2 linked regions of the Xenopus tropicalis genome follow. The protein of the gene in region 1 interacts with the protein of each later gene in a pairwise test. Links are inferred from orthologs where the notes say so. Each region holds a gene or a part of one and is shown on either strand. Other genes may lie near its edges. The genes, in order: aagab and ap2s1.

Evidence for each region.
Region 2: the proteins of aagab (region 1) and ap2s1 interact in binary tests that used the Homo sapiens proteins (3 or more experiments, as listed by UniProt). The link is inferred for Xenopus tropicalis from reciprocal best matches to the Homo sapiens genes AAGAB and AP2S1.

The regions. Positions count from the first base shown.
Region 1 is NC_030679.2:117,428,738-117,432,743, forward strand, and holds the end of aagab (alpha- and gamma-adaptin-binding protein p34), read right to left. Parts: coding exon 3,946-4,006; intron 2,223-3,945; coding exon 2,132-2,222; intron 1,776-2,131; coding exon 1,671-1,775; intron 1,409-1,670; coding exon 1,359-1,408; intron 1,232-1,358; coding exon 1,154-1,231; 3' UTR 772-1,153; downstream 1-771. UniProt on the Homo sapiens protein: May be involved in endocytic recycling of growth factor receptors such as EGFR.
Region 2 is NC_030684.2:70,196,619-70,200,121, reverse strand, and holds the end of ap2s1 (AP-2 complex subunit sigma), read right to left. Parts: intron 1,961-3,503; coding exon 1,847-1,960; intron 1,272-1,846; coding exon 1,212-1,271; intron 1,101-1,211; coding exon 999-1,100; 3' UTR 700-998; downstream 1-699. UniProt on the Homo sapiens protein: Component of the adaptor protein complex 2 (AP-2). Adaptor protein complexes function in protein transport via transport vesicles in different membrane traffic pathways.

The sequences.
Region 1 (4,006 bases):
GGGCTGATGGGGGGGGGGGGCTGTTTGGGCCTCTGTGTACTGGAAATGCCAGGGCCTATTTGGGTTCTTAGGCAAGACCTGCTCGGAACTGAAATAGCCCTTGTGGCTGTTCAGGACCAAACGCATGCCCAGTATAATGTATAAACAGCAAGGGGGTTACAGTCCCGGACACCACAAGTAACTGCTGGAATCTCCCAGGAGATGGGGGTGTGACTCCTGCAGGACTATACCCGGGGCTGATGAGAAACACTGGCATAGGGGGTCCAAGGGTAGCAATCATAATCAAACTAGCACCCCTGATTTAGACTTTCCCTGTCCTTTAATACAATGCAGGCAAGTAACAGGCGCTTATCACTTGGTACTGCTCAGTGCTGCATTTTTGAGTGCTGTGTGCCTGTCACTTGACTGCACCGGGCAATTCCCATTTTGTCCTCCACCATGGAGCCATAAACCACCCTGCCAACAAATACATTCATCCCTAATGAAAGAAAATACCATTTGGTATTAGTATGTATGTATTTCGCTATTGAGAGCTGTACAGTATTTGTTAATCCCTTTCTGCACTGCTGTCTCTGTCTCTTGAAACAATGTAGCATTACCTTATATTAAAATGATTGAAAACTTCTATTAAAAAAAAACATGTAGCAGGAGACAGTGTTGCACGTTTCTTCCCAGATCAGTTAATAATCTGGCTTCTGCTACAGAGTTTCAAGTGTCAGTGCCACCAGTGCAAGAAATAGAAAGACAGACAGACAGACAGAGAGACACTGCTTTCAATCAATTGCAAATTTGCTTAGAATCACATTTTCTTTTATTAAGCAACATTATAATTTTGGGTTTACATCCCTTTTAAGCAACAAAGTGTCAAAAAAGACTTGTTTTGTAGAGGTATGCGTCCGTAGTGATTCTTTGGGATTAAAATGCATGTGCCTCTTGTAAATATCAAAACCTGTAGTTTTAATGAATATAAAATATTTTATTTAGATTTGTCATCCTCTAATAAATATACAAGCAAACAATCACCGACAAGTAACTACTAAGTGGAAACATCATGGAGGCCGACCAGCACGGCAGGTAGAAGGGAGGATGGAAACGTGAGCAAGTCAGGTCCTAATGCTCCACTCTCATTGGAAACAGCAGGGGCTCATGGCTCTTAGCTCTCTTCCTCAGATGACAGACCTTCAATCTCATCCTGGTCTCCTCCAATCGCCATCCAGAAAGCTTTGGCAACCTAAAAAAAGGGGCAAAAGAACCTGTAAGCATACCTTGCCCAACACACTGGCACACAACAGGCACAACCCCTGTTCTTCATTCACCGTCCCAATCTACTGAGCCAATGAAATACACACGGCTATTACCTTTTCTGCGTGCAGTTTTCTCTGTTCATGAGGTAAAGTGGCAGCTTTATCTACAGGAAAAGCAAATGAACGTCACAAGCAGGTTAACAACCCCCTTGCCATACAGTCATAAGCTTTGTAAAGCTAACATGGTGTGTCGGATCATGTACGAGTTGTACCTGGATTTAAAGTCTTCTGATTGGTCGTTTTCTCAGTTATCTTATTTGCTAAATGCAAACCATGTGTAGAAAAATGGCTCTTACACTAACCAAGGAACAGTCACTTTGAATATACGGCCTTCTACTGCAAGTAGAAAGATTAATAGTATGTTACCTTTCATCTCCTGCAATTTGGTAAAAAGCCGGCTGAAGTTTTCTATGTCCCCCTCCCCCGAGGTAAGACTGGCAAGCTCTCTGATGTCCAGGTCCAGCATTGGATCTAGTGGAGGGGCAGAAGTTATTATGCAGCATGATATCCACACTATACACATATGAAAAATATGTAGTGACCTAGTCCTGCTGTTTTTACCCTAAACTGGCCCAGACTGGCAATCTGTGGATTCTGGCAAATGCCAGAAGGGCTGTAAGAAGCCATAGACAGACAGTATATACTGGGTCTCTTTGGGCCTATGTGCACTTGGAATGCCAGGGCCTATTCTAACTCCAAGTTCAGACCTGACCCTGTACAAACAGATGCTGCAGGCTGTAAGCCTATAGAAGGGCAGCACTTTTCCAGAGAGGACCTAGTAGTTACAGAAAAATGCTGAGCATGCACCATGCATCAAGTGTACCTACCAACTATGGTATCAACTTGCGAATCCCGGGGGTTTCCAGAGTCCTCTCCTCTGCACTGCTCCAAAGTTCCCTCACTGGCTGCAGGCGCCTGCTGGGAATAACTGGGTGTTAGTCTGAATCTGGTATTCTGAGCAGATGCAAAGCAGATGTGATACTCAGCAAGGCAACTATATTTCATTACACTGATCACTTATAGGTCAGGATGCTGTAATTTATATTGTGGAGAGTAAGACGGGGGAGCAGGAAGTGCTACCCATGAGTACATGTGCCTGTCAAAGTTTGCTGCAATGCACTGGCAGTATTGTAGCAGTTATGAGTGGGGAGAGAAGGTAAGGAATGGTGAGTAGTGGAAAAAGCTTATTTGTATTCTAACCAGTAGCTGAATGTTTAAGGGGTGAAAGAGATTAATAAAATTCTGTGTTTTTACTAATCAGCCTTATATTGTGACATTAAAATTCTGTATATTGTGCGTCCATAATGTCAGTAAGTGACAGCAGCACATGTGCAGTAAATCGGCAGATAAGAAGCCACTGGGGGCATCATTTCCTAAGTGGCCACGTGCCACAATACATGCCATATAGGTGTAATACATAATTTTTTTTAAAAAAAAGCCTTTATTCCATCAGCAAACTCATTTGCCCACTACACACATTATATTATATTATATATATATATATATATATATATATATATATATATATATATATATATATATATATATATATATCCATCCCCTACTTCTTTAGTTAGGCTTTAGTTCTCATTTAAGGTTGTGCATCAAACATAGCACTCATGTTAGCCATTGCCAGGTGACAGCAGCATGGAAATTAGTTTGTGTAAAGTCTTTTGCCTCAACTAAGAATCCACACCCTAGGGTTAACTAGTTAAGCAAGTCCATTGACAGTTAGTGTCAGTCACTGACCTGCTAAAAGTCTCTAAAAAGGTGCTCAGAGAAGCACAAGCTTTTAGGGTCACAGAGCTCCAAGGTAGGAGCCTACAAACTCTATCCAACATAATTCAGGGTACTTTGGTCACTGGGCTAGAACTCACATACTATCCAGTGTATTTAGTGCCTCCTTTAAAAGGCTTTTAAAAAGAGCTGCATTTTAAGTGGCTTCTGCATTAATTGGGGCTGTGGGCATTATGAATGGTATACGATAGTTAGCCACCTATTTAGTGTTAGAAGATAATGCTGGGATATAAAATTCAGTTTCACTATATTATAGAACTGTGATCCCCAACCAGTGGCTCGAGAGCAACATGTTACTCACCAACCCCTTGGATGTTGCTCCCAGTGGCCTTAAAACAGATGCTTATTTTTGAATTCCTGGCTTGGAGGCAAGATTTTATTGCATAAAAAACATGTGTACTGACAAATAGAGTCGCCTGTAGGCTGCCAGTTCCCATAGGGACTACCAAATAACCAATCACATCCCTTTGCTTGTGTTGCCCCCAAACTCTTTTTACATTTGAATGTGGCTCATTGGTCAAATGGGTTGGTGACCCCTGTTTTAGAAGGACAAACGTAGCGAGTTCTGTTTATGCTCACTTTCCTTTCTATGATGGCCTCATTCTCATCTGCCTGCGCAATATAAGGCTGTGTTTCTTCCTTTGTGTGCTTTAGTCATTGCCGTATCCAAGTGGGTGGGTGTTGAGGTGAGTTCGGACACAAATATAAATAAAATAAGAATAATGGCCCAGGAAGAAGAGATGGGACGGACTGAAAAGTGCGGGTCAAAGAGCTAATGCATGTCAGTTTTGTGCAAGTCCTCTATGGTGATCTGACAGACAGACAGACACAGGATACCACTCACATCACCCTGCAGCTCGCCGCTGGTCTCTGGGGGGTGATTCACAGCAGCCAATGAGCTGAAG
Region 2 (3,503 bases), on another chromosome or scaffold:
TTAGTAATAGCTTCTTATCAGTATCTGCACTTTAATTTTCAAACACAAAAACTGTCCAAAGATATCAGCTTCTAACAAATTGGTTTTATTAATATTAGTGGTTGTTTATTTCAGTGGTCAATGGACAAAAAAAAATGCACAGCTGAGCCACAAAAAGTGTCATGCTGCCTTCACCAGCTGTATGCACCCCACAATAACTATTAGCAGAACTCCATTATGTGCTGCTTCTGTGAAGATTTCAATCCATACTGGCAAGTACAACTTTAAGGGGAGTATGGGATTTGCACCATGGATTGTTCTACTTTGCACAGGATCTTGGTATACACCAGGTTAACTTGTGTTTTGTTGAGATTCCACTGAGTTCTGTAAATCATTAGCACTAGGTGTGTTAGCACATTTAGGCAGCACACAACCCATATGTTACTGGGGAAGCACCATTACATTTCCCGGTGCTGCACATTCTGACTGTGCTGGTGCATGACACCAGTGGAGGGGGGGGCACATGAAATGTTACCAAATCAGGAGAATGTAAACTTAACTGCACAGAGCTGCTGTTAATTTACAGTACACACAAGGTGTTTAAGTTCCTCCTTAACAAAGTACTTTAACTATATTCTCTCCCTTCACTTGGGGCCAGTTTATCTGCAACCAGCTCACTACAGCACATCATCCCTTCTCCAATTCTCTCCCACAGCATCATTATACACAGAATATTTTATTGTTTTCACATTAAAAGTTAAAAAACTTCATTTGTTTGAGAAGAGAAAACAAAAGAGACAGGGGCAGGTAGGATATAGAGTTATGGATTAGAGGCAGTAATGGGTCACATAATAATGAATAAATTGAAACAGAATACAGAGGTAATTAGTGAGGGCAATGCAAGAAGGTTTAGCTCCTGCTTGGAATGTTATTCAAGACTGAAAGGGGAAGACATATATATATTTATATATACACAAGATGCTGGAGAGTTTAGGTGGATGGCAGCTCAGAAGTCACTCTCACTCCAGGGACTGGAGCATCAGCAGCTGCTTCAAAACTTTTGTCTGACTTGTTTCTCTAATTTCACCAGCCAAAAACATTTCATCCACCACTGTGTACACCTAAAATGAAAAAGCAAAAGTTTAATAGAAAGAAACAAAAGGCATTGGAGAGAGAAGCAACTGATAGGAAAAGGGTGAGATTTACTAATGAATGTGAAAGAGCAGTCTTACCTTGTAGAAATTGAACACCAGATCTAATTCACATACATTATGGAAGTACTCATTTAACACCTAAAGTAAAAAAAAAAAGCAAATTAGACATATATATTAGTGAATATATTTATATTTGTATCATTTATAAAGCACATTGTTTATTTACCCATTTCTAAAAAAGTGTTTTTAAATCAATAATTAAGCAATAATGGCATGAGTAACAGCACTTCATTGGTCTGCCAAAGTGAATACTTGTACAGTTATTGAAAGCATATTTAGATGTTCACACAAGACTGTGTAGACTCTGTTAGGCTTACGCTGGGTCCTCATTAAAAACTGGAGTTGTGAAAACACCCTGCCCCTCATATTAGTAATATCACTATTTGTAGAAACTGTAGACTGGGTTTGAAACTGGAAGGGTCAGGGAGATAAAGGGTGAGAGGGTTATACTGACATAACAATGAATAATTTGGGATTAGAAAAAGCTAATTAGAAAAGGCATACCTCTTTTAGAATAATCTTTTTTAATCTCAAATATTTAATTGTTCTGTCAGTATAACCCTCTCACCCTTGATCTCTCCAACCCTCCAAGTTTCTTTATTTCCATTTCATTTTGTTTTAGCTCACTGTCCATGTTTATACCATCTACTTACCTCTACAAAGTTGTGGATGGCTTCCAGATAAGCCAGGTTATTATCTGTCACGTCCACGCATATACAGAAATACAGCCCAGCATAACGGCGGTATATGATCTTAAAGTTCCTAAACTAAAAAAAAAGGTATGACAGGATGCTTTTTGGATACAGCATAGGAACAGGAAATGGAAGAATTTGCAAGAAGGTTTTGTATAGTTGTTTATGTTAACTATAGCTGAGTTAGTTTAAATGCCATTTATTAAGAGGCAGAGAATCATCCCCTATACTGGCAGCTTTTCCCTGTGTCAGTATGCTTTCCAGAGCCAAAATCCGCTCCATAAGCCTGCACACAGGCACAGGAAAAGGCTGCCAGCGTAGGGCCTGATCCTTGGACTATGTTTATTCGCAGGCCAAGAATCAGCCCCATCTGGTATTAGCCTTACTGAATACTGGGTCCAAAAGGGTGCTTTTGTAAACATAGTATGAAGCCAATCAACATCCCTTCTTTCCTCTCCACCGACGTATTGCTGCTGGGGAAACATACACAGTGCAAAGTTGCCTGTATTGTGTATGTTTGCATGTTAGCCGAGAGGAAAGAAGGGATGTTTTGTTACCAGTTGCAGCCGATATTAATCGTGGGCTACAAAATTCCCCATCTGTCACTGCCCTTGGGCAGTACACAAGATGATTAGTGGCCCGCGATAAATCTCCTCCATTGCGGGCGACTAATCTATGAATGCTTTACAGTACAGGTATAGGACCCATTATCCAGAATGCTTGGGACCAAGGGTATTCCGGATAAGGGGTCTTTCCATAATTTAGATCTCTATACCTTAAGGGCTCTGGCACACGGGGAGATTTCAGCACATTTCGGGTGCTGAAAAACTAGGCTTATACTCGAGTATATACATTAAGTCGCTGGTGGGATGGCACACGCTGCGCAGGTGATTTCGGCAAATCGCGAAGTTGCCTCACGAGGCATTTTTGGCAATTTGCTGAAATCGCCTGCGCAGCGTGTGCCATCCCACCGGCGATTTACATTTTCACCAGTGGGATGCTAGTTTGGGGAGATTAGTCGCCCGCGACAAATCTCCCTTGTCACGGGCGACTAATCTCCCCGAACTAGCATCCCATTAGCACTAATCTCCCCGTGTGCCAGAGCCCTTAGTCTGCTAAAAATCAATAAACCATTAATTAAACCCAATAGGATTGTTTTGAATCCAATAAAGATTATTTATATCTTAGTTGGGATGAATTACAAGGTACTGTTTTATTACTACAGATAAAAAGGAAATCAGTTTTAAAATTCTGAATTATTTGATTAAAATGGAGTCTATGGAGACAGGCTTTCCGTAATTCGGAGCTTTCTGGATAATGGGTTTCCGGATAAGGGATCCCATACCTGTACTAAACTTCATAAAATCGAGTATGTTTTCCTACTGGCAGCTTACTTTAATGCCAGCGTAAAGCAGTCACATGAGATAAGTTGCCCACAGTAGGGAAGATTTATAGCAGGCGACTAGGGCACAGAGTAGACAGTTTTCAGCCAAGAAGGCTGAAACCATATTGGCTTGAAACATTGCTACTCTATACCCTAAAACTGATAAATAAAGGCAAATTATCAACTGAAGTGCTGTCATCCAGATTTCCAAGAGGCACTTTTGTAGCTGGCGAC